Linked DNA regions of Arabidopsis thaliana. The protein of the gene in region 1 interacts with the protein of each later gene in a pairwise test. Each region holds a gene or a part of one and is shown in the gene's direction. Other genes may lie near its edges. The genes, in order: PIL1, ULT1, AT3G24490 and PIF7.

Evidence for each region.
Region 2: the proteins of PIL1 (region 1) and ULT1 interact in a two-hybrid assay, tested with the Arabidopsis thaliana proteins (one large-scale study listed by BioGRID).
Region 3: the proteins of PIL1 (region 1) and AT3G24490 interact in a two-hybrid assay, tested with the Arabidopsis thaliana proteins (one large-scale study listed by BioGRID).
Region 4: the proteins of PIL1 (region 1) and PIF7 interact in a two-hybrid assay, tested with the Arabidopsis thaliana proteins (one large-scale study listed by BioGRID).

Annotation. Positions count from the first base shown.
Region 1 is NC_003071.7:19,293,157-19,301,223, reverse strand, and holds PIL1 (phytochrome interacting factor 3-like 1), read left to right. Parts: upstream 1-3,365; 5' UTR 3,366-3,545; coding exon 3,546-3,619; intron 3,620-3,686; exon of another isoform or gene 3,687-3,702; coding exon of another isoform or gene 3,703-3,710; exon of another isoform or gene 3,711-3,793; coding exon 3,794-4,328; intron 4,329-4,409; coding exon 4,410-4,517; intron 4,518-4,605; coding exon 4,606-4,671; intron 4,672-4,776; coding exon 4,777-4,842; intron 4,843-5,205; coding exon 5,206-5,607; 3' UTR 5,608-5,793; downstream 5,794-8,067. Other genes in the region: ASY3 (asynaptic protein), read left to right, coding at 40-189, 263-321, 794-928, 1,107-1,198, 1,294-1,356; CYP709B1 (cytochrome P450, family 709, subfamily B, polypeptide 1), read left to right, coding at 7,012-7,288, 7,388-7,614, 7,711-7,967, 8,053-8,067. UniProt on the Arabidopsis thaliana protein: Transcription factor. Involved in responses to transient and long-term shade. Required for the light-mediated inhibition of hypocotyl elongation. Necessary for rapid light-induced expression of the photomorphogenesis- and circadian-related gene APRR9.
Region 2 is NC_003075.7:13,982,100-13,989,925, forward strand, and holds ULT1 (Developmental regulator, ULTRAPETALA), read left to right. Parts: upstream 1-2,923; 5' UTR 2,924-3,653; coding exon 3,654-3,940; intron 3,941-4,348; coding exon 4,349-4,693; intron 4,694-4,776; coding exon 4,777-4,951; 3' UTR 4,952-5,343; downstream 5,344-7,826. Other genes in the region: AT4G28170 (uncharacterized protein), read left to right, coding at 372-476; AT4G28180 (uncharacterized protein), read right to left, coding at 812-1,582; AT4G28200 (U3 small nucleolar RNA-associated-like protein), read right to left, coding at 5,709-5,789, 5,881-6,064, 6,139-6,311, 6,389-6,829, 7,156-7,826. UniProt on the Arabidopsis thaliana protein: Putative transcription factor that acts as a key negative regulator of cell accumulation in shoot and floral meristems. Negatively regulates the size of the WUSCHEL (WUS)-expressing organizing center in inflorescence meristems.
Region 3 is NC_003074.8:8,905,237-8,912,723, forward strand, and holds AT3G24490 (Alcohol dehydrogenase transcription factor Myb/SANT-like family protein), read left to right. Parts: upstream 1-5,185; 5' UTR 5,186-5,785; coding exon 5,786-6,787; 3' UTR 6,788-6,987; downstream 6,988-7,487. Other genes in the region: MSH7 (MUTS homolog 7), read right to left, coding at 7,182-7,487.
Region 4 is NC_003076.8:24,636,287-24,643,822, reverse strand, and holds PIF7 (phytochrome-interacting factor7), read left to right. Parts: upstream 1-3,057; 5' UTR 3,058-3,383; coding exon 3,384-3,385; exon of another isoform or gene 3,386-3,529; coding exon 3,530-3,950; intron 3,951-4,027; coding exon 4,028-4,132; intron 4,133-4,198; coding exon 4,199-4,264; intron 4,265-4,358; coding exon 4,359-4,742; intron 4,743-4,827; coding exon 4,828-4,950; 3' UTR 4,951-5,223; downstream 5,224-7,536. Other genes in the region: AT5G61280 (Remorin family protein), read left to right, coding at 1-198; AT5G61260 (Plant calmodulin-binding protein-like protein), read right to left, coding at 5,224-6,714.

The DNA of each region.
Region 1 (8,067 bases):
TTTGTTCCTGTCTTAAGTTGATTATTTACCATGTCTCAGGGCTGTTGCATTGTTCGCTATGGCTCTTCAAAACTTTGAGAGAAAACTGAAATCTGCAGCTGAAAAGAAGTCCTCAGAAATTATAGCATCAGTCTCCGAGGAGATACATCTGGAGTTGGAGAATATCAAGTCCCATATCATAACAGAAGCGTATGTTTGTATAATTTATTCTGCATTCTTTCTTTTAAATTATCAATCAAAGATCTTGTTAATTATGGTACAGGGGAAAGACAAGTAACCTAGCCAAAACTAAGAGAAAGCATGCCGAAACAAGATTACAAGGTACATCAACACATTATATCTTAATAGTTAATACTGTACTCGAATTCACAGTCATGAACATTAAGAAAGCTTAGAAGTTCAAATATACTATCTTTGCAGTTTAATCCTGATTCAAGGTAGTAGATCGGAAATTTGATATCAAGTATTACTCTTTAGATTGCATTTAGTCTTGAAGTACTCACCATCTTGCTTCATTCTTGTGCTTTCATGTCTCTTTGATTAGACACACACACACACCTAACTATACTTTCGGCTCTAACATAGACATGAAACTTGCATTTAACATAGTTATATCAAGACAAAGCTAAATGCTCAATTCATTCCTATGTGGAGAATAATAAAAAATTGAGCTGTGTATTGTTGTGGAACATGAGAGTCTGGAAATGTCTCCATATTTCCACTCATTGAATAAAAATATGCAAGATCCGTTCTGATCTATTGTGTTCACTGATAATATCTAATCGTCTAACAGAGCAAGAAGAGAAAATGAGAATGATCCATGAAAAGTTCAAGGACGATGTCAGCCATCATCTTGAAGATTTTAAGAGTACTATCGAAGAGCTTGAAGCAAACCAGTCAGAGCTGAAAGGAAGCATAAAGAAGCAAAGTATGTTAACTTCTGTAATTCCTGCTTTTACTACAACGAATTCTAACACTAGAAATACTTGAAACATATGATGTTATCAAAGTTAGATTCTTCATGGCAAGATAGTTTTAATATAATAATAGCAGGAGGACAAGTATTTCCTAAACTCACTTGATAACTTTTTATCTCTCTATGACAGGAACATCACACCAAAAACTCATTGCACATTTTGAAGGAGGCATCGAGACAAAACTGGACGATGCGACCAAAAGAATCGATTCTGTAAACAAGGCAAGTCATTGTTCTGCTTCTTAAGAGTCAGATTCTAAAAATGGTTAAATCATGAATTCAAAAGCACAACTTAAAAATGACGTATTGGTTTACAGTCTGCGAGAGGAAAGATGCTGCAGCTGAAGATGATTGTCGCAGAATGTTTGAGGGATGATTGACACTGAGTCTCACAGAATCAATCAACCACACGTACGTCGTTATTCTCCATTTTAAAACATAAACTAGACGAACTGTGTTAACCAGGAAAGAAAAACCTCTCAAGCAAAACCAGCCTTTGGTTTAGTGGTCTCATGAGTTCAGGCGAATAAAGAAGATATAGTAGATGATGCTTTGACTCATTGTCATTGATTCGTATTCGTATAGAATAGTTTATTGTTCACTGAACCACTACAAAACTACTTATATCATAGAGCCTTATTTTATATAGCAGTTTGAAGGTTTCTTTTTAATTTATTTTTGCCAGCAACTGCAGATATTTTTTATTAAACCAACAACTTTTAATTAGGTTATTGATATCTTGATATATATCGAAGCAAAACCAATCCAAACATTTTTCTTTTAAAAACCAGAATATTTTGCAGACGTTGATGTGAATTTTAATTACAATATTTTACTTTAACAGAGATGTATTTCATATTGAATATCAAAACCAAACTGAACAAAGAATGGTCACAATTCGATATCAATCGAATGAAACAGAAAATAAAATGTTGGACCCAACAATTTTACTGTGATGATAAAAACATGGTAGAGATAATTTTGTTTGTAAATAGAGAGATCTCAAATCACAGAGGATTCTTTTTTTACGGTCGGTAAAAGAATTTAGAATGTGTCGAGAGGGTAAAAATGGAGAAGACGACAAGATAGTAGCAGTCGTTAGAAACAAACAAGAAAGAAGGGAGGGAGACAAAATAACACAAAGGGGTGGATGAATCACGCGGCATTCACGTGAAGTGCACGTGAACTTGGCCAAAAAAAGCCTAATTGTGGGTCCCATTTAAAGAGAAAACTAAAGCCTTTAAGAAAGGGCCCATCCATATATGTCTTAATAATGGCGTGAAGGTTCTTTCCGCTCACGTGGGCCTTTTGTGCCCGTCTCTCTCGCATGTCACTCACTACAGTTTTACTAGTGTTTTGTTTTATTTTTGATAACAACATTATTGATTTTTTTTCGGTCTACCTAAGTTTTGACCTTTCTTTTTTAATTGTGAACAATTGAACATGCGTATTACTTATTGATAATACTTTTATCTTCAATAAAAAAAATAACACACGAACATAATATAGAAATAGTGTGTTCCAATACTGGAGATTATTTAGTAAGTTCAGTTGGACGCTTTGTCATTGCATAGTTTGGAATTTATTCCTAAACTTTCTAAGAACACGTTCTTATAGGAATTTGCATGACGAAAAAATCAATACTAGTTGCATTATTGTTGGAGCATCATCGGGAGTGATTTTTTTTGTGTTTTCCTATTTACTACATTGTGTTTTCCTGACCTTTTAAATAAAAAGGAAATACACAAAACCATATATAAATATATGTATATATATATCTGACTGTGCTCAAGTAAAATTCACGGATCAGACGTTAAAAAAATGATCATGCTTAATATTTTCTCATTTTAGATGAAGACAAAAAAAAAAAAAAGGAATTGCAATCGTAGATTTGACTTTATTTTTATTTAATTTTTCTATTCTTTTTCCGAAAGCAGAGAAAAATGGAGCGGTGGAGAGTAGAGAAGTCGGTCATAAGAATGTCTCTCTCTCTATTTCTTTGTCTTTCACTATCGCCCATACATTATCTTGCTTCTTTCATTTATTCCATCAATATTTTTGTTTTAAAATGAAAGATTTACACATTAACATGAATACTTATACTACTCTTTATCGCGTATATATAGTATAGTCTATGTTATTATGAATTTATGATTATATTTTTTCTATAAAACGTGCGAAAACTCATTTCACATATACAAACAAATATATACGTTTTGTATTAAAAAAAAGCAACTGTAAATTTTATAAATCTGAAATGTAACATTTGAAGTCGACCAAAGTTTGTAAGGTAATAATTTGTACTAATTCTCCATACTGTGTCATAATCACGATTCAAGGATAAATATATGAGTTGTGGACCAAAACAAATCCTCCATATCAATCAATCATAAATGAAATAAGCGAATATACATATATACAACCGACTATATATATATATATATGCTGCTCTTCATTAACCCCAAGAAAGAAAACCAAAGTGTGAAGTCCGAATCTCTCTGATTCTACAATTCACAAAAACCGGAAAAAAAAAAAGACAAGTAAAGAAAGCTTTGTTCAGTTTACTTCAATGGAAGCAAAACCCTTAGCATCATCATCATCTGAACCAAACATGATTTCTCCATCATCAAACATTAAACCAAAGTAAGTTTATTATGGTTTCATCTACACTTTTTGCGACTTCTATAAACATATACACATGCGTGGTTTTGAAATAATGGGCGCTTATGGTTCTGTCGGTGCTTGAAACAATTTTGTCTTCTCCTGACTATTTTTTTTTTGTTAATAGGTTATTTATACGTGACTCTTTTCTTGCAGATTAAAAGATGAAGATTATATGGAGCTGGTGTGTGAAAATGGGCAGATTCTTGCAAAGATTCGAAGACCAAAGAACAACGGTTCTTTTCAAAAGCAACGTAGGCAATCTCTCCTGGATTTGTATGAGACCGAGTACAGCGAGGGTTTCAAGAAAAACATCAAGATTCTTGGAGACACACAAGTTGTTCCGGTGAGTCAGTCTAAGCCACAACAAGATAAAGAAACCAATGAACAAATGAACAACAATAAGAAGAAGCTAAAGTCCTCCAAAATCGAATTTGAGAGAAATGTTTCGAAAAGCAACAAATGTGTTGAATCATCAACATTAATTGATGTTTCTGCTAAAGGTCCAAAGAATGTTGAAGTTACTACAGCTCCTCCTGATGAGCAATCTGCAGCTGTTGGTAGATCCACGGAATTGTATTTTGCTTCTTCATCGAAGTTTTCTCGAGGAACTTCGAGAGATCTAAGTTGTTGTTCTTTAAAGAGGAAGTATGGAGATATTGAAGAAGAAGAATCAACCTATTTAAGTAATGTAAGAGAAATTAATTAGCTGCTTGTCTTAGTTCTTTCACATGGTAGATCATTAATTGTCTTTTTCTTATTGCTTATGCAGAATTCAGATGATGAATCAGATGATGCGAAGACACAAGTTCATGCGAGAACAAGAAAGCCGGTGACTAAAAGAAAACGAAGCACAGAAGTCCATAAGTTATATGAAAGAGTGAGTTTATATGTATGAAAATTTCACCTTAGTTAGTAGAAAAAAAATAATGTATGAAAATTAATGCTAATTAAGGATTTGTTAACAGAAACGAAGAGATGAATTCAACAAGAAAATGCGTGCTTTGCAGGACCTACTACCAAATTGTTACAAGGTTTGAGATTAACTTAAATCACATTACATTGTTTACTTAGTCTTAGAGAGTTAATTAATTTTCTCTTTGTGGAGATTTCTGAATATCTGTAATTGTTGATGATAGGATGATAAGGCTTCATTGTTGGATGAGGCTATCAAATATATGCGGACCCTTCAACTTCAAGTTCAGGTATTCAAAATAATACACCAATTCAATAAAATTTCATTGAGAGATAATAAAATGATTCAGGTGTTAATTATTTAAACACAGACTTGTGTTTATATTTACATATAAATTTGTTTTTTAACATTAAAATATACTTTGTAAAGTGTTTTTGTTATCAAATATTATTGCGTTTGGCTTTTACCTTTACGAATGATTCTTGATAAAGTCACTAGAAACTAGTTTCATAAGAGAAACCAAAACAAATTATAAACGTAATTAAACACTAATCAATAAACAATCAAAAGTTTATTCCTTATTTATTTTACTACAAATTTTTTTACATATATATAAGATTCTTAATTAACATGCTCTAATAATTATTTACAGATGATGAGTATGGGAAATGGATTAATAAGACCACCTACGATGTTGCCAATGGGTCATTACTCTCCCATGGGTCTAGGAATGCATATGGGTGCAGCAGCAACACCAACATCAATACCGCAATTCCTGCCTATGAATGTTCAAGCAACCGGTTTTCCGGGGATGAACAATGCACCACCACAAATGCTAAGCTTTCTTAATCACCCAAGTGGACTAATTCCAAACACTCCTATCTTTTCTCCATTGGAAAATTGCTCTCAGCCATTCGTGGTGCCTTCGTGTGTTTCTCAGACTCAGGCTACTTCTTTTACTCAATTCCCAAAGTCTGCGTCCGCCTCAAACTTAGAAGATGCAATGCAATATAGAGGAAGCAACGGTTTTAGTTATTATCGCTCGCCAAACTAATGATTTGTAGAAAGTTGATGTTTTCTCCAACTAACTAACTTTAAGCAAAAAAAAATGATCGTCTACTCTGTGTTGTTAGTCTATGGGCTTTTGGGCCTTGATTCTTGGAACGATTTGAACTTAATTCCAACTATTTTCAAAGTGGATGTACAAAGTAAAATATAACAAATATAAGTTATCATAGACTCTATAACAAAGTTATAAGTAGAGGACGTGCAATTGCATAATGATGGATGATGATGAGTGTTCAATTACGATAAACCGATTTTAACGCAAACCCAACTAAGATGAAGACAACTCATTTGACCTAAATCGTAATTTGAAACGAATTTTGCCATGTTTTTGGGATTAAGGAACAATCTCAATGATGAGATTGAGTAAAGTACTACAAAACTTGGGCTTGATGGGCTTTTTAGTGGACTAATATCTACTTTATTCTTTCTTTTTTCAAACATTAAAAAATTAATTGGGCTTTTTCAAACACGAAAACAAGGGAGTGCAATAGTGTGATGAAGATGAGACTCACACATTGAATTTCTGATATTTTAGCGTCAGGTGCGTTGAAAACTTGAAATCAATGTGAAGATTCTCTTTTAAAAATAGATGACTCTTATTTCATGAGTTAACATGATACTTAAAGAAAGTGGATAGTTAAGTCTAAACCAATTCTTTTAGTATAGAAATAAAATTTCAACCACTTCCTTTAAATATGAAACCATGCAAAAGTAGATAACAAACGAAAAAGTGTTTCATTTTAAGATTCGATGTCACGATCCATCACATTGCACCGTTGGTTGATAAATATCTCTCATCTTTGTTTATTTATTTTCACAATGTTGTACTTCTATTTCTATAACATTTTCGTTTGAATTCAAATACCAAATTAACTCTCCAAACAATTAGTTCATCAAGTATTTTGTTCACAATGATATGTTAACAACAAATCATTGATTCATTGTCCATGCCGGATTATTTTAAAGATACAGAAACAGTAAACCTAAGATACAATGAATGCTAAAACTAAATTATTCTCCCAAAAGGATTACTTAGCTTTCATGAGTAATTTTATATTTTTCTTTTATCCACTCATTTTTTATATACTTTCTATAATTGTCTTATTACGTAACAAATATGTGCTATAGGCATATTTAGAATCTACTCTATCATCATACCATATATAAGACACATTTTACTTTATTAATTACTTTTTGTTTGTTCTCAAATTGAAAATAAACAGACGTGTTTGTGCTAACTTCATGTAGTGTTTAGATAGTGTTTCATTCACTGGCCATAGACTTATTTTACAAAGTTATATGTGCATGTCATTATATAGTGTAGAACTTAAAACACCTAACCAAGAACAACAATACACACACACAAACATAAGGAAAAAAAAACTTTTCCATGGGGCTCGTAATTTTCTTGGCACTAATTGTCTTAATCCTTATTATTGGTCTCAGGATATTCAAAGCTTTTATGATTCTTGTTTGGCATCCATTTGTGTTGACCAGAAGACTCAAAAACCAAGGAATCTCAGGCCCAAATTACAGAATCTTTTACGGAAACCTCAGCGAGATAAAGAAGATGAAGAGAGAATCTCATCTTTCGATTCTTGATCCTAGCTCCAATGATATTTTCCCTCGTATTCTTCCTCATTATCAAAAATGGATGTCTCAATACGGTGTCGTTTTCTCCAACTCTCTCTTTGTTCATCTTTTATTTTAGATTTTATTCGAGGATAATGCGTAACACACAAGTTATCTATGTTATATATTATTAGGAGAGACTTTTCTTTACTGGAACGGAACAGAGCCAAGGATATGCATCTCAGATCCTGAACTTGCAAAAACTATGTTGTCGAACAAGTTAGGTTTCTTTGTCAAATCAAAGGCAAGACCTGAGGCTGTTAAACTTGTCGGCTCCAAAGGACTTGTCTTTATCGAAGGTGCTGATTGGGTTCGCCATAGAAGAATCTTGAACCCTGCTTTCTCCATCGATAGGCTCAAGGTATTTTAATCCTTCTTTCTTAGCTTGACTTGAGAAATTAAACATTAGAGCCGAATAACTTAATTTTGGTTGTAAATTTCTCATTTTGTTGATCAGATCATGACGACCGTGATGGTTGATTGTACGCTCAAGATGTTAGAGGAGTGGAGAAAAGAGAGCACTAAGGAAGAAACAGAGCACCCGAAGATTAAAAAGGAAATGAACGAAGAGTTCCAAAGACTAACAGCTGATATAATAGCAACCTCTGCGTTTGGAAGCAGTTACGTCGAAGGAATCGAAGTGTTTAGATCACAAATGGAGCTTAAAAGGTGTTATACAACTTCTCTCAACCAAGTCTCTATCCCTGGAACTCAGTAAGTTAATCATTCTCCTACTTTCAGTTCTCAAACAAGATTCTTAGGTTTTGACATATATTGGTCTTGTTTCTTGTATTCTAAGGTACCTTCCTACGCC
Region 2 (7,826 bases), on another chromosome or scaffold:
AAACATTTGTGATTCATAACTATGCTTGTTTTTGTTGGGTGGTGAGATTAAGATGAAATAAACCTGCCAATGCGTATAAGTTATTAAGTTTAATGAAGTCTATCGGTCAGGATCATGATTTACCAGGGTTTATGCTAGAGGAAGCTCTTTTGTCGTATCTTTGAAAAATGGTGCAAAGTCCAAAACAGGATTACATTAAATGTATTATTTTATGGGGATACAAAACCCCTTGATTCATGCAACGAGGTTTGAATATAAGCAGAGTAGAAAATAAGATATGTTTAGAGGAATTCACTACCTATTTGTCGACACACTAGTTGTCTTTTGTGAGATGATGATGTCATGTATAATCTTGTGTTGTTTATTTGCAGATGGATGTGTGTAAAAGAGAGATATCGGTGTTGATGCCTGGAGAAGATGTCCCAACGTTCATTGCTCAGCCATGTCCTCCCTCATCATCATCAAGCTCTTTCTGAAACCTTCTTTCATCTCATTAAGTAGGACTTTTTATCAGACAAGTGTTTATGTAGTCAAGTGTTGTTAAACAGAACAGTGTTTCTCTGTTTGTGTCTGCTTATCCCATAGCAAAAGAGCAGCAATCTCCATAAAATAAAAAGCCATGGAATTTGTGAGCGTTGTTGCGTAGGCTTGCCTTTTACTTTACGAGTCCACAATAAACAAACCAAAAACGAAGATCCGCATAAGATTTGGTTAATAATTATACATTCCGCAATTTACAAATCAAAAAAAGGGAAAGAAAAAAAACAATCAATCACATCAGAGTTAATAATGATGAAAGGAGAAGAGATCATCAGAGAAAGATGAAGCATTCCATGGACACTTCAGGGTCTCTCACAGCTGTTACATCTTCTTCCTTCTTTACCTCAGCAGTTACTTTCTCCGTTTCTTCTTCCTTCTTCTTCACCTCTGTTGCTCCGTCTTTCTCCGGAGCTCCTACTCGTTTCTTCATGGGGCTTCTTCTTGCAGAACTCGGGGCACGAGTGGCTGGAGACTGTGAGCGACGCCTCGGATTATCCGATAACCCGCTCCGTGGGAGTGGACCCGAATCCACATTTCGCCGGTTGTGAGTAGGGTTTGGTTGACGAGACTGTCTCTCTCGGACTAACCTAGGACGGAGCTGCTTCCCCTGAGGAGAATGTCGTTCTGCCGGAGATCTGAGGACTCTGTCAGGCCTGTTACGGCGAGAGGTGGAAGAAGAAGGAGGAGGAGGACGGTGAGGTTTGCTGAGAGCATCGTCTTCGAGGATGGACGCAGCGGTAGCAGTTGTGGCAGTGGAGTAGCTGTGAGAGACAGAGACGCTGCAAATGTCGGACTTGCTGTGAGAGATCTCCGGAGCTGGAGGTGAGAGAGGAAGAGGAACTTGAGCTTCTGAATCTGAGACTGTTGGTGCGGAAGGAACGAGGTCGGGGACTGGGACAGGGACGGAGATGGGTATGGGGACGGAGACAGAGACTGATTGAACAACGACTTCTTTGACGGATTCTTCTTCGAGGGGTGGAGGAATTTGAGCGGCGGCGACTGGTGGAGCTGTGACTTTTCCGGCGCTGAAGCAGCATCCCATTTTCTTTCTACTTTTGCTAATTCCTCTCTCTCTCTCACTCTGCTCTCTCGAGAGTCGCGAGTCATATACTTGTCAACTTTAATGGGCCTCTTTCTCATGTTGGCCCATATTCACTATGGGCTCGATTATGCTCTTTTGTTTTATCCACTTTGATAAAGAATCTGATATTTGTCTCATTCATTCATATCTTCAAAGACAAAACGCTAGTGTTTGATTTTCTTTAAAATATTCAAAAGAAAATTATGCGGATGGACAAATATCTCGTTAGATAGCGACCCATCATCGTTGGGATAATTTCAACACACAACTGCCGATTGCCTTGGACAGGGACACCGGACATGTAACGACAGTAAGTAAAATGCTTAATACTTATACTACCAACATCTTCCTTTTGGTCGTCAAAAATGTAGTTGAAGATAAGAACTGACCATCATTTTTTAGCTCATCATCCATCCACTATGTTGCATTTACCTCATTGTTGAATAAGAACGCGTTGAGCAAGCTACTTTTTCATCTTTAGTTGGTTTTGTGTTAAATAAAACTTGAAGTGGAAAGAACCTAACATCGTTGCTGCAAACTTGATATTCGAATATTTATAACCACCATCTTAAAAACAAAAACAAAATATGAGAAGTTTAAAAACATGACAAAACTTTGAGTAGAAATCAGAAAGGGGCCAAGGCTCGTAAACTTCTAAACCCCAAGCCCATAATAAATGTTTTGAATCCATAAGTTCACTCCCATCCGCTACTCTTTTTTTCAGTTTCTTGGGAACAACTAGGAGGAAAGAGAGTTTTTAAAGTTCAAAGTAAAGATGTTGTTATACAAAAATTGTGTTGACAACTTATTCATATTCATGTCTCTGTAAAGATGTTGACATAATTATTTCACTTTCTTCAAAAAAAAAAACTGGCGACATTTTCTTTAATTCTCATTTATCCATTATGTACTTTTTGTTTTTGTTTTGCAACCCATCCATTGTGTATGTACTTAAGATAACAACAACAACAAATATACCATATATAAATCATATGGTCTACATACAACACTAGTATCCTCATCCGTATTAAAAAAATGAGTTCCTCGAACACATATAGCTACAAATATAGAGATATGACTTTGGGGTTTGAGCGCATTGCAGAATACCTAACAGGCATAGATGTCAATGACGTCGTCGTCATGTACTTGGTTACTAGTTGTTTTATAGACAACTAGTTGATTAAACCTTTTCTTTTAACAATTAAACAAACCAACCTTTATATATTTCTTCAACTTTTATTTTATATAAAAAAATAGCCAATAGGTGTGGTGGTGAAATGACTCGGTAACCAATGAATCCTGGTGAAAGGGAAGAGCCAAGAATTTGCAGAACCTCAAAGGAAAAAAAAAGGACCTTTGAAAATTACAAAATCAAGAACTTCTTGAAAAGAAGTAAGTACAAGAAATAGAAAAAGGAGTTATGACATTATAAAACCAAAGAGGAACCTGAAACAATTGACACAACCCTATTCCTCAACTTCTTCTCTCTTATGTCTTATCAAAAGCCTCTCACCCACCGCCTCTGTTCCTGCTCCTCTTATCAACCATAGAAATTCTCTCTCTCTTCCCTATATACAATACAATGTTATGTAGGTGATACATACTATAACATAGTTGTATATAAACATTAATATAATGGAGAGGTCCCATGCCCCCACGAGTTTTGTTTTGTTGGCCAGCTAATTCGCATCCTTTTTGTTTTGTTTGTATAAGAGAGTTTCTTTGTTACTTACTATAACCACAAGACCACAAGAAGGCCAAAGAGAGGCTAAACTAAAAGAGCTCTCTTTCTAATTTATTTCTCTCTCTTCTCTTCTCCCGAAAAGCCCTTAATAAGCTTTTGCTTTGATATCAGATCTCTCTTACGGCTTTTGAGATGCGTGCTCCTTTAGGGCTTTCCTTTTATACCCCAAAACGAGGCCTTTCCTTCTTCTCTCATCTCCTAATTCTACCCTCTTCCTCTTCCTCTTCCTTCTCTCTCTCTTCTCATTCTCCTCATACGCTATAAGGAGAAAATCTCAGAGAGAGAGTGATGGCGAACAATGAGGGAGAGATGCAATGTGGGTCCATGTTGTTTAAGCAAGAGGAGCTACAAGAGATGAGTGGGGTCAATGTTGGTGGCGATTACGTTGAGGTCATGTGTGGTTGTACCAGTCACCGATACGGCGATGCTGTTGCTAGACTTAGGGTTTTCCCCACCGGTGACCTTGAAATCACCTGCGAATGCACACCTGGTTGCGATGAAGGTCTCTCTTTTTTTGTCTCTACTGTCTCTTTCTCGTGTCTTTCTGATGCTTTTGGGAAAATGGGTTTTGATTTGTGTGCATGTTACATGTGAATGTGTGTGAGATTAAACGTTTGTCTCTGTCTAGCTACTATCACATTGGGCTGGTAAAGCTAGGGTCTTTAGCATGATTACATATTTATCAATGAGTCTTAGTGTATGCTAGCTAGATCCGTTCTTGTAGAAAATGAAATGACTTGATTTGCCACAGTAATGTTTTAGGCTGTCTGTTTATCTGTAAATGGTAATGCGTCTCTTTGTTACTGGCCAAGTGGTAGCTTTATTGACAAATGATATGTCTCGCTTAGCTGTACGTGTATGTCAAAGTTTGATGCAACCTAGTTCTTGTGGTATCTTGTAGCTAACAATTCCATCTCTAGCTTATTTGGTATAGATGCTCATTTAGAGCTCTCTTTGAAAGTAAAAGTGACTGACTTGAACAGTTTTGATTGTATGATGCTAGACAAGTTGACACCAGCTGCATTCGAGAAGCATTCTGGAAGAGAAACGGCAAGGAAGTGGAAAAACAATGTGTGGGTTATCATTGGGGGCGAAAAGGTTCCATTGTCAAAGACAGTATTGCTCAAGTACTACAATGAATCATCAAAGAAGTGCAGTAGATCAAACAGATCACAAGGTGCCAAAGTTTGCCATAGAGATGAGTTTGTTGGGTGTAACGATTGTGGTAAAGAGAGGAGGTTCAGGCTGAGGAGCAGAGACGAATGCCGCTTGCACCACAATGCAATGGGTGATCCAAACTGGAAATGCTCAGATTTCCCATACGACAAGTAGGTGTCTTTTGTTGTCCTTGTATGTACTTAAGTTTGATGCAAATGATGTATTATATCAATGAATGGTGTGGTGGTCGTAGGATAACATGTGAGGAGGAAGAAGAGAGAGGGAGCAGGAAGGTGTACAGAGGGTGCACACGTTCACCTAGTTGCAAAGGCTGCACTTCCTGCGTCTGTTTTGGCTGCGAGTTATGCCGTTTCTCTGAGTGTACTTGCCAGACTTGTGTCGACTTCACCAGCAATGTCAAAGCTTGAAGAAGGCAGTCCATTAAGAAAAGAAAAAAAAATGTCTGTCTCAGACTTTGTTCGTTGCATTTAATAACTTATTCTAAAACTCCAAACAGTTAATTATCTTATCTATGGGTTGTGAATGGAGCAATTGAAAAAAAAGTAGAAAAAGTTGATTTCCAAGAAGAACATGCAGACGAGCATGCCTGAGTTTAGTGCATGTCTAGATTTTTGGCTAGTGGCAGGGAAAAGTGTTATTAATAGTTTGTTGTTACTCTTTATTTTATTAGCTGTTGACAGCTTTGTGAGACGAAGTTGTCAATGGCACAGCTACTCGGTCTGTGATTTAGCCATTTAGGAGATGGGACATGGAAAGAGACATTTTCTTAATACCCAAAAAGCCCTGACGTCTTGTTTTGAACACAGTAACCATATGGGATCCCTTAAGTGATGTATACTTTTATTATCAACAACAAACATTAGAATCATAAAGACCAAGTCGTCACCAGGTAAAGAGGATACGAGAATAAATTCATCAGAAACATGTGAAACATGTGAAACGTGAAACCAAAGACGTAGAGGCATGTATGAACTTCAACATGTTTTTGTATCAAAAAAGTGTTTTAGAGTATAACTAGACTCATAAAGTAGTACATCGACTCCTGTTCTGTTACAACCAAAATTCATATCTTAAGGATCACATAACTGAAACCTGCATCCACAAATACGAGGCAAACATAGTGTTTCCTTCATCATACATACTAGACTACCTATAAATCAGAGATCAAACTATGAAATCCGCGGATTCATTCAGAGTCTTTCTCGCACGCCAATACACTCCATTGGCTGTCTCTGATGTTCCCAGCTGCAATAAACATCAGAAAGATTGTCAGTTAGCATACTTGACACTAAGTCATAGTATTGGTTTTGGTCAGGGTATTAAGAATCCACTTTACCTTTGTCTCCAATGAGTAGTAATTCTTCCACAGCTCCACGTCTTGACCGTAACTTGCAACAGCAGAATCATACAGCTTCCGGGCATTACTGAGACCATCTTTATCACCTACTGATATGAGGTTGGTCTCTATTTCAATGCAACCTTTGTATAGAACAAGACTGGGACCAGGAAGAGCCAAGAACCTGCAGTTTTACGGTAACAGTGGTGAGAATAAAGTCCATGTGTGACTCAAGGGACTGGAGGAGTAGTGACTCACCTCTTGTATATCTTCCTCGCACTGTGGGCCCCTTTTGTTTCAAGAACAAATTTCACCACTGTGGAAGCAAGAGAAAACACATGGTCGCTCCCATGGCTTTTGGTTGCTGATAGGATGGACATCTCTACAAGTTTGTCCAAATAAGTTCGCTGATGAGCAAAGAAATTAAAAGCCTGCAATACAATAAGCATTTTATTAGTGTAGTCTTAACAAACTAGTGTATTGTCTAGAAAATATATTAGTCACATACCATTAGCCACAAGCTCTCAGATTCTGAGATCGGTACTTTCCTCAAAGCATTTGAAAGGAGCTCAAAGACTGTCTGAAAATCTGCTTTACTAGGAGATGAGTTCTCTGAAAGTGATCTTATTTCAATGGAAACTCTTGAAAGCCACAACTTAGCTGATCCAGCAAATTTTTCAGAGCAGAGCTTTTCTGCTAGCTTCTGAGCTTCATGAGTCTTTTCCAGTTTCAAGTACAGAGAAACATATTCATCAGCAAGCTCTTCAGTCAAACAGCCAGTTTCATCAGCCTTTTGGTACACGTTTATGATATGTGAAATGATCGGATTAGACAAAGAGGAGATTTCATTCTCGTCGCCGTTTGACTGTACAATAGCCTCCATCAGAAAATTTATATAAATCTCAAACATAGAACTTGACGTAACAGTTTGCAAGCCTTCTTCAAAAACCTGCATTCAGGGGACAAGATTTAAGACCTATCAGATATTGTACTTTCTAGTTTCTACTACTAAGCCGAAACAGATTGTGGTAAAGCAAGTTAGTATAGTCCTAAAGAAAAGCCCCCCCATAACCAATGTTCCACCTGTCCTCTCCGACATTATTAAACTAGGCAATTTGACTTCAGGTTCAAACCAAAAAGAGTGAGCGTAAAATCAAGACTAAAGATTTGATCTATGTTAAGGAAATGCAGCACAACTATGGCCGCCACATTCTTTAACAGATTTCAGCATTTAATAAATTTCTAACCCCTAGTCATAAGTTAAGATTTGTTTACCTGAATAGCCTTTTGCATTTGAGGATTTGCAAACTCTAGGCCTGCCTCATTGCTAATACAACCACTCATTTCATGTCTTGCAAGCCAATTCCAGTATTCAGGTTCATTGCAAAAATCACGCTTCAGGTCACTTAGAATGGTATTGCGCATTTCATCTGAATGCGCTAAGTCTGTTGCCTCTAGAATCTCCAAAAAACGCTTCCTCAAGTCAAAACTAGATGGAATAGCCTCAACGGCTCCACTATAGATGGTCTGAAGAACATTGGACCCTTTCTCTTTTAAGAAATCAACTTTCTCAGTCACATCCTCAACATCTTCGACAATAGAGTCCTCGTCATTCTCTTCTTTTTCATTTCCTTCTTTCTCATCTAGCGACATAAATAACTCTTTGTTCTCATCTTTCCATTGCTCATCCTCAACGGTTTTCGTGTCACGCACCAAACTTCCTTTATCTTCACCAAGGGCAACTTTACGAGCTTTCAGCTTATTTAGAAAAGTAAGTTCCATTCGCAGATACTCAACCCACAGGTCTTCAGAGTTTGAACACACTCTCAGCCCATTCAGCATAAGAGCACGAGCTGCTGTAACATTCAAGTTTCTATCAAATTCCCAAGATGCAGCATATATCCACACTCCAGCCACTTTTGGATGAAACCTTATTGCTTGAGCCA
Region 3 (7,487 bases), on another chromosome or scaffold:
AAACATATTCGACTGATTACGGTGATGATTGTTCATGTACTGTTTTGGGAATATATGTGTGATGTCTCTGATTATCTACCAGCTTTTCATTAGGTGGTGAGATGCGCAAGCTCGCAATCTTTCGAAACATATTGATGCCAACGATCTTTAGTAAACATTTTGTGAGTTCAACATCCACGTATAATAACCTGAATGATTAATGCCTATTAGCCTAGTTTTACCCTAATAATAATATCTACTTTCTAATGTATATTACTAAACATTTATCAAATTCTATAGCACTAGCATTATCATTTCACGGGCAGAAACTTTGGCAAGGAGCAGCACTAAACAATTAAGTCAGCAGATTTATGATTTCATAAAAGATATGTAGAAGTATAACACTGTTTTAAAAACCCAAAACACTATTATAAAACCCATACATTTTCGAATCTTTTATTCATTCTACAAACCCATACACTATTATAAAGCATGGATACAAATAATTTGATAACCGACTCCATTAAGGTTTATAATAAATTATAAGAATTTCGCGACACCTAACAGCCTAACTACCAGGTTTTATAAAAATCATTAGAAGGAGGACCAAACGAATCGCTTTAGTAATCAAAAGATTAGTTGTCTAATTAAGTTTGCTTTTGGAGCTTTTTCTTAGTTATTGCCGCAATGAAGCACACCGTGTGGGGACGTTTTGACACATCAGGTAATGTTCTCATAGACCAGCGGGATGTTCGAGGCTTTTAGGTCGCCGACATGTGTCGATTTTTGGATAGTCGAATTTAATAGTATATTACTTTAACGAAACAAATATGTAGAAAAATAACCATATGCTTTTTACTTTTGCATAATCACTTCTGTTCAAATTTACTTGGTATCCATGGTACATCATCATGTAAAACATTCGTTATGAAGTTTTTAAATAAAGTTATGTTAATGATTCGTGCCAAAAGGAGCACATTTCGCCAATAGCCAAAAAGAATTGTAAGAACCGAATTACAATAGAGTATTTGAATTTGTATTTTTAAGAAGTCATATGTTTTTTATGTTGAAAAACAATGTGAAGGAATTGAAGTCATCTAGAGTGAGTCGAGACGTATATTAAACATTCAAACTAGTTTAAGAAGTATGTATAACTCGTCCTATACACACAAGTTTTGTATCCTGACACTTTTTCTTGTGGGCCAAAAGGTCCCATAAATAATGCAAACTTCACTAATTCACGAGATCGTGTCTCCATATGAAGGAATTATACAAGTATTCAGATCTTGTTACAGTGTAAAATATTGAAAAAGGTGAAAGTGTTGCACTAAAAATCAGCCGTTGATGATTGATGAAGGAGCTTAGTATGGAGGATCTAGAGTGAACCATGCAAACATATACATATTTTTGATTATTTTATTAGATTTGTACGTATTGTATATAAATTTGGAAATTATGCATAATATGCATAGTATTCTTTTCCGTGGAGAAACATATAGATTTCTCACCTGAGCTTATATGAAAGTAACCACTATTTTTCTCATCACAAATCTCGCAACACTTCTTAATATGCTAGTAAAACTATAATGATCTAACGATTGGTACTGTTTTATTCTTTTTAAATTTTAAACCAACTGCTATTTTTAATACTCAAACATTCACTTTCTTAAAAACCAAGTGCTTCTAATTACTCTTAAAACCTAAATTATACATTTGAATCTAGGTTATCACTTCTCTTGTTAAATCAACAATGCTATGCGGTTAAATTTTGTCATGAATTTTTGATTTAAATAATAGAACGAGGTGATCAACATTTTCATCTGTTACCGGCTTCGTCTATATGAGGAGGCCAAGTGAAAGAAGTTATAATAACTAGGTAGGTCGCATGGTAAGTTTCCCATGAAGTCTTCAACGTCTTTTGTCCACTTGATTGTGCGCTAAATACTGTGTGAACATTCATTCATTATCTTAAGAACCCAAATGCTTTTAATTACTATTTAAACATAATTTGTACATTTGAATATAGGTTATCGAGTTTCTCTTGTTGAGCCAACAATGCAACATCTTTATTTCTGCCATTTTCAATTTAAAGAAAATGAATAAAATAAAATTAAGTATTTTGTTATTATATGCTTAGTCTTGTTAATGTAATTATAAGGAAGATAATGTTCCTTAATAGACTAGATGTGATTCATGAGAACCATGCACAAGAATTCAAAAACCCTAGAAGATTCGATGGTAAATGACGGATCAATTAGCAAAATATTCATGTACATTTACTATAACGCTATTGTATCTCTAGGATTATCGGGTTCTTGTAATGGATGATACACCACAAACCTTTTCTATATTTGTAATGCATTATGATTGACAAAAAAATAGTGTTCCTTGATTTTTTTTCTTTTTTTTGTGTGTGCATCAAGTGTTACTTGTTAATTCATTATTCATTTCATTATGTTTCTCATACACTCTAGCCATCTCTGTTTTTTTCACCAACTAATCATACAATTTTATAAATTTGGCGATTTTTTTAAAAAATAAAGACTCTATAGTCTATTTTTGATAATTGTATGTAACATTATGTACTATGAAAATATCATGCAATTGTGAAGATGACAAGGTTGTCATATCTTCTTATGAGGTAAGAAATTATTTCTTAGAGTATATGATCATTTGCTATTAGTTGTATTTTCTATCCTTCTATAGATATGTGAACTTCATTCTCTAGTTGAGTATGTATCAGAGTTACTTTTACCTTCCAGTACTAATGAATCTGGAAGCTCACACAGAATAAAAGTTCTTGCGTAGAGAAATACAAAATCTTAGTGCTTAGATGAACATTTGACCAGTGAGGTGAAGCAGACCACTATGGTTGAGATCATCTACTAGCAACCAGACCATCCAAAATCTCTTTTCTTCTAACCAAGAGACCAAGTCAGTGTCCCATCAAATTTGTTTTTTAATTTTTATTTTGGTTAAATATCAAATCCTTTATAACCAATTTCTCTTTTCTTCTCCATCCAATAAGTCTTTTCTATTTGGAATCTCATGTAAATCAAAGTGCTTTACAACTTTTTGGCAAACATTTTATCTTTAACACTAGACCAAAAACTTCCTCATTAATTAACTAAACTATATATATTATTGGCAATAGAGCATCCTGCTTTCGTAGGAATCCCCTTACCAAAAAAATCACCGAAGATACTTTTGGACTATATATTTGTCAAATCAATAAATAAAAATAAATAAAAGATTAAGAAATAAATGCTCAAAGCCTCAAAGTAAAGACAAAAGACAAAAAATTGGTGAAAGCAACATAGTTGGCATTGGAGTGAGCGAACGTAACCACTCATAACGCGTTTGAAAGAGATTGTTGTCAAAGACTTGAGAAACTTCGTAACGGTTTTATGATCACTCATTGACTCTCTCTCTCCGTTACACTTATGTTCTCGACGCGACCTTCCAACCATAAAATACTAATTTCATTTTTATTTTCACTTCATCGATATCTTGTGACATGTAATATGATTGGCTTATCAAAAATCTTTCATACGAATTTTCAAGTTTGTTCACATCTCTCTCCCAAGATATCCGTTTAGGAGCCTAGGACCGTTACTTCACTTTATTATTTTCATGTGGAGGAACTGTAATATATATCACAATTTTGTTGTTCTTGTTGATTGTGTAAATAGTAGTACTGGATACTAAAGAACAATGAGTATGTATCTCAAATATTTAGCTCAACCGTTTTATAAAAATACTATATTATTACCTTAAAATTGTTTGTTGCTTTATCAGTATTAGGTAATTATGAGATGTCACTGTTTAATCTATTTAAACGTTTTATGAGTTACATTAATGAAAAAAATCTGAAAAGTTAAAATTATACGAATACATACCTGTCTGACTCTACCTACTGAATTTTGTAAAACAATTTGTTATATTTTATAAGAAAGTTGATGTTGTAGTGTTTACTGTCTCATAAAAAACAATCTCTATTTATTTGATTTGAGACTTGAAATTTTTAAAGCTTGTTTTAAACTATACTGTTTTTCTTATAAAAAAATTGTATTAATTTTTTTTATAAATGAAACTGTTAAAAAAAATTGAAAATTTAGAGATCAAAACTAAACCTTTATAATCATTGAAATATATTGGTACATCTACCCACAAAACAGGTCAATCGTCTAGGTTTAATTATAATTAAGCCTAACATGTTAATGAGATTCAAACGAAATTAAAGTCCACAATGCCAACTCAACTCAAGTATCAAATCTTTTTCTTCTTTTTTTACTTAGCAGGAATACCAAACTCAAGTATCAAATCTTTTAAAATTTATTTTTTACTTATGTCAATGTGGGAATGACCGAGTTACTTAAGAGTTATGATTAATATTAATTCTTGTTTCTAACCAATTCATATATCATTGTCTTGGAAGCTTCTTCATATCAATGACTCAACTCTTAATTTTTTTCGAAAATCTGTTCTTACAAGGTCACACAATTCAATTTTTTTTTTGTATTGTAAATGTTTATCTCGTTATATTTACACTAACGAGATTTAAACACCTAAAATCAAATTGTACGAGACTAGTGTTAGTTATTCAATAGTATGATGCATTGATGCAACAAAATTCGTTGCGATTATTTATGATCCTTATCACTACCATGATCATTTCCATTAAGGTTATACTTACTTCCTTTTTGATGCATAATAATTACTCACCAACATTGAAGCGTGGTCGACATTTTCATTGGCAATAAGCATAACATTCATTTATTTATATTAAAACACAGAAACAAACAATTATTAAATAAAGAGTTCTGGCATTTCTCTATTTTAGTCCACTTAATTTAATACTATCATCTTCAAACAAGATTTCATCATTAATAATTTAAAAAATTATACGTTACATAGTGTATTAAATGAATTATCGTTGGGATACACTTTCACATTTTTCAAAAACGTATGAATCATAATGTGACACATGGAGATTTCCCACAACCGAGGCTCCCATAGTAGATGCTTATGCAATTCATATTCTTGCAGCTTAAACTCTTGCAAGTTCAGTAATAACACCGTGATATGAAAAATAAAACTTAGCCCTTTTTAATTTTTGAACTTATTCAGATTAATTAAAAGCATACGTAGCATATTTAAGAATATAAAGCAGAGAATCAAAATAACATATTGTTTCAATGGCACCCATTTTAGCTAGTCGATCAGTAACTGCATTCGCAGATCTTCGAACCCACCAAAAATCGACAGCTTCAAATCCTTTGAGCCAATATGACGCTAAAGGTCAAAATATTATGACCCTAAATGTCAGAAATTGACCCCATAAGTCATAAGTTAACCGACACCAAAGCTGATATTCGTTAGAGTTTAGACTCTCCTTTTCTTAATGATCGTTAGTTTTAGTTGGGAACTCTTGGGCTATCGGTTAAAATTAAATAATTGTGGTCCTCTTGGCCCATTAGTGCTGTCCAAACTGGCCCAATATGACCCAGTGGATGGTCCCAACAAACGCCGCGACAAAACTCCGTCGCTGGCTGAGGCAATGTTCACCGGTGGTGGTAGCTTTTCTTCTACTCCGACCCGGCTGAAAATGCAAATCCCTAACCCTAGACACGGCCATGGTTTATAAACCTCATCAATTTCTTCTACTTATCTCTTCTCAAAGCTAAACCCTCCAAGATATTCCTCTATTAGGTGCAAAAATCAGGTAAATCTCTATCTGTCCGATTTGAAACCCTAGATCTGCCTTTCTTCTCTCTTCTTTTGCTTTTCTGGGTTTTGCTCAAAGATGGGTGACAGCGAAGATGAAACAGGATACCCAAAAAAGTTTTACTCTTTGAATCGGCAAAACCATCCAATGTATAGTAGACCAATACCTAAGCGTCACGCGTATTACAATGAAGAAGAAGACGAAGATGAAGTCGAAGGAGAAGAGGAAGATCCACAAGGAGGATACATTCGTGGAAATGAGAGGTTTCAGAAGAGACAGAAACCAAACAAAGTAGTTTCTGGGTTTGAATTTGCTGGTCCTAGTGATGCTAAAGTTGCGTATGATTGGAGAGAGCAAGAAGCTTTTGTGTTGCTTGAAGTTTGGGGAGATAGGTTTTTGCAATTGGGTAGAAGGAGTTTGAGGAACGAGGATTGGAATGAAGTAGCTGAGAAAGTGAGTGAGGAGCTAAGGATGGAGAAATCTGAGACGCAATGTAGGAGAATGATTGATGACTTGAAGAGGAAGTATAGAAAAGAGAAGATTAAGGTTGAGAAATCAGGTTTAGGTTCAAGTAAATGGTCGTTTTTCAATAAGTTGGATATGTTGCTTTGTGTTTCGCCCAAGTCGGATTTAGGTTTAGCTTGTGGTGTTGATTCAGGTGAGTTTGTGTTTATGAACACTAAGGTTTATTTAGATAAGTCTAATGGGTTTGATGAGATGATGGATAGTCCTGGTGATTCTGAAGAGGAGGAGGATGAGGATGATGAGGTTGAGTACGAGAGGAAGAAGGTTAATGACGCTGCTTCGTATAAGATGTTGGCGGATTCTGTTGAGAGGTTTGGGAAGGTTTATGAGAAGATGGAGAAGAGTAAGAAAGAGCAAATGAAGGAGTTGGAGAAGATGAGAGCTGATTTTCAGAGAGATTTGGAGTTGCAGAAGAAGCAGATTGTTGATAGAGCTCAGAGTGAGATTGCTAGGTTACGTGAAGAGGAGGAGAATCATCATGGTGGTGGTGATGATGATGAGAGTGAAGATGAAGAAATGGAGAATGATTCTGATGTTAATCTCAGTGATGAGTAAGTTATAAACTATGTAGGTTTGTGTTGTTTGTAGATGCAACAAAATATGTTCTGTTTTTTTTTTTGGTTTTAGGGAATTCAGAACTTAAGTCTTATAAGTTTTGTAATTTGTGTTTGGTCTTTGCAACTTTAGTCGAGGTTATTTGCAGTTTATCTTGAAACTTAAATTAATGCATAAACATATTTCCTTCTTAATATACTGTTTGTGAGTATTTCTCTTGACCAATCTCATGAACATACATATATTATATACCATAGCTAAACCGACAGATACATATATAATCTTGTTATAATCGAGGAAACAATTTTTTGATATATAAGCATTTTTTAAGAGGAATAAACATCAGAGAAGCAAAAGACTTAACGAGCTTCAGATAGTGTTATGTCATAGCCATTTATTTGGGAACACAGTAAGAGGATTTGATCTCATGCCATAAGCAAAACAAAGTGTCGTAGTCATCTTCGCCAATGGGGGCATTGTTGTGGGCGACTCGAGAAATACCCACCAATGACTTGAGCCAGTCTTCATGCAGACTTGAGAACTCAGATCTTAGCTCACTTGACTTGAAGTTTTCCCCAATTGATCTCTTCATGGCTTGAGCAGCACCTGATGCTGTTTCAACCACTTGGTTTGGTATTCCAGCCATGAGTGCCACTTGAAGTCCGTAGCTCTCAGGACAAGCTCCCTCGGTTAAACGGTA
Region 4 (7,536 bases), on another chromosome or scaffold:
GAATTGGAGAAGAGAAAAGGGATTAATAATCAGCATTATAAGTCAAAATTAGCAAGGATTCAACTAATAGCTGATGGAGCCAAGAAACAGCTTGAGGAGAAGAGAAGGAGCAAAGAAGCTCAAGTTCATGGAAAAGTAAAGAAAATGAGTCGAACAGGGAAAGTTCCTAATAATTATTTCTGCTTTCGGTGTTACTAAAATCAAAATTACTTATATCAATGAAACTATATTTGTATGTGTTAAACTCAAATCATAAATAAAGAGTAAGTACCTATAATTATAAATTTTGGTAGATATCATCACCATGGATAATATTGCAGTTTTCAATTGTCTCTCAACCTAATTCCCTATTTTCTTTTCTTTTCTAAAGATCTGTCTAATTCTTAAGCTTTAATTGTTATGTCAAATATCATAATAAAATGGAGTTATACTCCATAAAAATCAAATATTGATGTGATAGTCGATGTTTACACACGCTCTCGACCATATTTCACACATGAAATGTATCATATTATAGACGAGTAAACACCAAAAAGGGACCATAAAGGATTTTGATAGATCGTTAAACTCAATTTGTGATATGCTCTCAAAAGGAAAATGAGGCATTCTTTGGTCCAACCAAGTTACTCTCTTACCCGAAGTTTCTTTCTCCATTGGTACGTAGCAACACCTATGTGGTGGCCAGGACCATTCACATTTACTATCCTCTCTTCTTATTAGGAAAATTTGTAATATATATTGTCGTTGTACAAGTCTCAATCAATAGAATTTCGACGATTTAAATTTTATTCACCAACTATTGATGTGTGTCCTTTCAATTTATGATGCAAAGAGTAAGTTCACCGATCCTATGCCATGGATACGCGTTGCGTGACCTTGTAATGAATTCAAATGTTATATACATTTATAAACATAATACATTCTATATAACTTTCTCATAGTTACCTAGTTAAAAGTAGAACTCACTTAACTTGATAAATATGATGTTTTCTTCTTATATAAAAGCTATCTTTCTCACTTTGTTAAACTCGTGTGTTCTTGAAAGACTTAAGAAAAATAGAAACTTGAAATGAAAGAACACATGAATAGTTAACAAGTACGAATCCTTAAAATAAATCCTAAAAATTCTTCGGAAGATCCACTGATTAAACTTTGCTCAATCAAGCTTTCAATCTCTTCACTTTTTATCTACCTCTTTATCTCTCACACGTACGCACACATACATGAACACATGCATGTCCTCTGCTTTTATATTACAAAAGTGACGACTTTAGGATTCTAGCTAAAACTTGTTATGATAAATTGAAACCATATTAATATTCTTTAATTTTGATAAGTAACAATTGTTTTTCGGGTTTGTGTTGAGTTGCATAGGCAAATTTGTAAAGTCTCACGGAAAACTACGAGTGTTAATTGAAAGAGTACATTCAAATATCAAAAGAACATTGACAGTGACATTTAATTTTAATTTGTAGTTTAATGTATTTTTTATTTATTTATTTTTTAGTTTTATGTAAATCTATAACATCATTTGGTCAATACAGTCATTACCATCAACTAGTGATCAAAGAATAAGTTATCATAAATCAAATGATTAGCAGAAAACAATTGATGTGAAGAATCTAATTCGTATAAAAGAGAGTTTGAACATCAAAGAAAAAAAAAAGCTTGAAATTGAACAGATAACTCTGAGGAGCGTTAGGATTCGCTGTCAAGAATCTAATGCGAGAAGTTGATTGGCTGAATTTCACAGATCAACACTGGGTCCCAAAAAACCATCCAATAAGATCTTTCCACGTGTCATTATGACGACATCAGTTTTGAAGCTGTCGGCCGTAACTCGAGAGCGGAGTGGGTGAAATCACTTAAGATTTTGATGTGACATCAAATGATTGGGAAAGAAAATCTCACAATACAAAGGGGTTGATCCGTATTTATCCATTTCTCTGTACTTTATAGTTTTCGTATTCTTTTCTTCTGACTCAACATCACATATTTCATTCATATCAACTTGTTGTTCCACTACAAACAAGGCTTATAAGCCTCAACTTATGGTTGCAAGTTGTAACCAATCTGATACAAAAGTACTGAACCAATGATTGAAAAAGTCGTCTATTTTTACCTATTTACGTACAAAACTACCTAGACGGCTATGTATTAGGTAATCTCTGGACCAGTGCACATGAGGTCCTATAAGAAATTTAATAAGTGATGCTCCATTTTGAAGAGTACATATAAAAATATCTTAGATAGCAATATAAACACTAACTACAGTAAGAAATCAAAATTTGAAAAACATAATATGTCATTTTAAGAAACAAGTAAGAACAATCTTTGCTTCAATTATTCATGGAAATCAATGAGATATCTCTTTGAGAAATCTAAAAAACTTCTTCTTATTCTTGTTCTTCTTTCTCCCATGGTAGACTAGAAACTTTCTTCCCATACATTACTTTTTGTAAAATGAACTTCTTAAAAATGCTTTTCTTTTTTTTTTACTTTTTAAAAATGTTTTTATGGTGATCATATGAACAAGTCATTTGATATATTGTGAGATGGGAATGGACAGAGAAAAATTAAAGAAGTGATTAAAAGAGGCTGAGAAGTGAGAACATATTGATTGATTCCTAGCAACTTGCATCAAATATCTCTAGTTGATGCATCAACCTCACATCTCACTCTCATTTTTGACATTCGAATACCATACTATAGTTTCGGATTCTTACGTGTTTACTCCAATAAATATATCTTGTTTTCTATTCTTTAATGCGTCTACATATATGTATATATTTCAACTACGTTTATTATACTGTATAACGATAAAAATTTACATTTTTAAATAATAATAATAAATTCTATTATTAGAAATGTGTTTGTTTCTAAATCGGTGAATCACACGCTTTGCTTTGCTATGCTTTCTACCGAGTAGTCAAATGCATGCAATAACACATTCATGTCAATGTGAGTCGGTTGTGAAGAAATGACGAAAATGCCCTCATTTTATTAGTTTTTTTTTTCCTTAAGCAGGAGAGATGATTCTGGACTTGAGTGGCAAAACACAAACAATCCTTTGCCACACATGTGCTTCGTCCACATAAAAACCATTTGACGTTTTGCAGGGACCATTTTTGAGAAAGAGGAGACAAGAAGAGAGAGAGAGAGAGGCCTCTTTATTATAACTTTCAATATGGATCAAAGGCAGATACACCGCATGAGTTGTCGCTGTGATTGTCAAGAGTTTGAACACACAAAGAAGAAAGAAGAACTCAACATTTCAAGCAAGAAGAAAGAGAGAAGAGAGAAGGTCCAATAATAGAGAGAACAAAAAAAAAGAGAGCTTAATTGTCAGTTTATTCTCTGCAAACGTGCGGCCTAAGTAACACATGTATCTCTCTCTGTTTCTGATAAAGAACTCTTCTCTGTTTACACCAAAAAGAGACAAAACCTTACGCTTCTGTCCTTTTTTGTTTATCTCTCTCTCTCTCTTAAGTCTTAACACAAAACCAATTTCTTTTTTTTCGTGACTCAGGTCGAATTATGGAGTTAAAGAGCTCACATGGGAAAATGGGCAACTAACCGTTCATGGTCTAGGCGACGAAGTAGAACCAACCACCTCGAATAACCCTATTTGGACTCAAAGTCTCAACGGTTGTGAGACTTTGGAGTCTGTGGTTCATCAAGCGGCTCTACAGCAGCCAAGCAAGTTTCAGCTGCAGAGTCCGAATGGTCCAAACCACAATTATGAGAGCAAGGATGGATCTTGTTCAAGAAAACGCGGTTATCCTCAAGAAATGGACCGATGGTTCGCTGTTCAAGAGGAGAGCCATAGAGTTGGCCACAGCGTCACTGCAAGTGCGAGTGGTACCAATATGTCTTGGGCGTCTTTTGAATCCGGTCGGAGCTTGAAGACAGCTAGAACCGGAGACAGAGACTATTTCCGCTCTGGATCGGTAACAACTAACAAAATTACTCTTCCTTTTTTTCCTGAAAGATGACTGGAGAAATAACCAAAAGAGGACTTTAATAGGAAACTCAAGATACTGAAGGAGATGAACAAGAGACAAGAGGAGAAGCAGGTAGATCTAATGGACGACGGGGACGAGCAGCAGCGATTCACAACGAGTCCGAAAGGGTAAAAACTAATCCATCTTTTCTCTTTCCGTGATTACCAAACTACTGACTCTGAGTTTTGATGCAGAGACGGCGTGATAGGATAAACCAGAGGATGAGAACACTTCAGAAGCTGCTTCCTACTGCAAGTAAGGTAAATGTCTATCCTAGAAGAACCCACTTTTAAGTTTAAGAACTTTGTTTATATTGATATCGGTCAGTTTAAACGCGTTATTCGGATATTGCAGGCGGATAAAGTCTCAATCTTGGATGATGTTATCGAACACTTGAAACAGCTACAAGCACAAGTACAGTTCATGAGCCTAAGAGCCAACTTGCCACAACAAATGATGATTCCGCAACTACCTCCACCACAGTCAGTTCTCAGCATCCAACACCAACAACAACAACAACAACAGCAGCAGCAGCAGCAACAACAGCAGCAACAGTTTCAGATGTCGTTGCTTGCAACAATGGCAAGAATGGGAATGGGAGGTGGTGGAAATGGTTATGGAGGTTTAGTTCCTCCTCCTCCTCCTCCACCAATGATGGTCCCTCCTATGGGTAACAGAGACTGCACCAACGGTTCTTCAGCCACATTATCTGATCCATACAGCGCCTTTTTCGCACAGGTAAGACCGCTTTTAACTGTTTTCGAGAAAAGTGTTCAAAGATATACAAATCTTGAGCTCACTTCCATTGGCCATGCTGATGCAGACAATGAATATGGATCTCTACAATAAAATGGCAGCAGCTATCTATAGACAACAGTCTGATCAAACAACAAAGGTAAATATCGGCATGCCTTCAAGTTCTTCGAATCATGAGAAAAGAGATTAGTCTAGCGACCTAGTATTATTGATCCATATATATAGTTCTTGAAAGATTGTTGTATCATGATTGTAAAAACTGTTTTGAGTATGGAAAAAGACTTGCAGATAAAACTTGAAAGCTTCACAACTGAATTCAGTAACTGTCAAAGTACATTACTAAACCCTTTGCTATTTCGAGGACAGTAACAAGAAAATTATCTCTTGGTCGCTCTTGAAGTTTAAAATCTTCAATGTTAATAGATCATATGCACAAATAAACTTTTGTCTTTTTTTCTTTCTTTCATTGTTCGGAGACCAAAGGTCTAACCTTAGAAGCAGATGTTGTGGCCTTGCTCTGAGGTTTGTGAGATGTCTTATTAGTGTCCTGAAGAGAGATAACAGTTTCAAAAGCACCAATAAGAGCTTTCACTTTGTGCTTCCTCACCTTTGTTAGCTTATTCACTGTCTCCTCAATCACATTGTTAAACAATGTTATCATTTTCTTCTTCCCTTCTACTTTTCGATGCCTCAGAACAACTTTCTCACGTTTACTTCCTTCACAAGAATCTGTTTTCGTCTCAACACCCAATCTTCTATCTTTAAGATTCTTCTTCTTCCCTTCGGATTGCGTTTTCAGTTCCTGCACCACCCTCTTTTTGAACTTGATCCATCTCGGAGAAGAATCCTCGGGTTTAGGATCAAGAACCTTTCCTTTCTTGAAAGTCATCTGCTGAGCTAGACTCACCTTTACTCCTGTCTTCTTAGGCCTAACCTTCTTCTCCGGTTTTGGATTTGCTTCAACAACGTCTGCAGAGCCAGTTTCTTTCTTCTTAGTCAAACCGGTACTGATTTTACCAGGAATCTGTTTTGTAGGACTAGAACCACGTTTAGGAGTAGTACTCAAGCTTTTATTCCCACTTTTCATGGTTTTCTTCTCAGATGATGGTTGCTTTTCACTCTTAACACCTTTGACGCTAGATTCAACAACACACACAGTCTTTTCTTTTACATCTTCACCGCTAATTGTCTGAGTCGTCTTTGCCTTCTCCACATTCTTCAGATTCTTTGGAGCACAAACCTTAGAACTTCCAACGCCCGTAGAAGTACTTGACTTATCAGTTCTCAAGGCAGGAACCTTCTTAACAACAGCTGAACCACTCAGACCACTCTCGGTTTCTTTATTCTTCCGCGCTCTATCATTGCTTTTAACGCTTAAACCATCAACAGATTTCGCTATCTCACTACCTTCTTTGGAGCTAGATTCTGAATTCACAGAAGCACATGGTTTTTTCTTCACAGCCAAGGCATCTCTCTTTGCAGAAACAGAACTATCCGGTTTGGTTATACCTGGACTCTGTCTACTCACACTCCCCAATGACTTCCTTGTCGAACTTGGTGTCTCAACTTTGATCACAACTGAACCTTCAACACTCTTTCTCCTTGCAATCTTCCACGGCTTCACAGCATCATCTTGATCACATTTCTTCCCATGTTTACATAAATCATGAGTCGAACCCACACGATGATTCCCACGATAACGGGACTGAACCTGCGGTTTACTTATCGTTCCAGTCGAATGGCGTCTCAAAGTCCCACCTTGAGGCTTAGGCACTTCAATAATCTCTGGTATAATCTCTTCTTGATCCTTGGCTACCACAGCTATAACATCTTCCACATTTTCCACATCCTTTACACGTACTGTTTCCAAAGAGCCTTCTTCAGACATCTTCGGAGGGTTTGTATCGGAAGAATTCTCAATATCTTTGACCTCTGAAGTATTCTCTTCAGCCATTGACAAAATAAACCTGTAGAGGAAACAGAGTGCATTACCAAAAAGATCTCGACGTTTATGAACAGAGCATATTAGAACAATTTAATGGATTCTAAACTGATTCTTTGTCTTTTATTACCTATTCACTAATCAGATTCTAGAATTTGACATCATAAAGAACAAATCTTTAGACAAAAATCTACCAAAGATGACTCAATACATTCAAAGAAGGACAAATGTTGACTTTAAGAGTCATGATCAAATATGTGTATATTTCCTCGTTGATCATCAATGACATTAATACCTAAACGACAAAATTGAATTTTGATCATGATCCGTTACGAAAATTAATCACTTGTATTACAAAACAATGAAAAAAACTCCGATCTTTTTTTAGATAAAAAATTTGACTTCTGATCGAGATTGAAGGACAATGACCTAATTTCTACACAGTAACGCAATAAATACTCCACACGCTTAAAACCCTACCAACAGTTTCACAATTCAAACAAACACAAAAATAACCAAAAACGTATATCAAAAAAGAAATCAAGAATTAAGAAAAAAGATACCTTTAGATTGCTGCCTAATCTAACTCTCAGAGAATTTCCACAGAATAAGAAGAGAGAAAAAACAAAGAAAACAGTAAAATATGAGAAAAATGTATATATGTGTACCAGAAAATTGCTTTCCCAAATTATCTTTAGTTGGAAACAAATATGAAGAAAGAAGAAAGGTAGATTTGATTAGTTAGGAAAAGAACACGCAAAAATACACAGAGGAGGGAAGAAATCTTCTTGTGCAGAAGTCTTGTGAGAGAGGGAGATTCTGATTTTTATATTA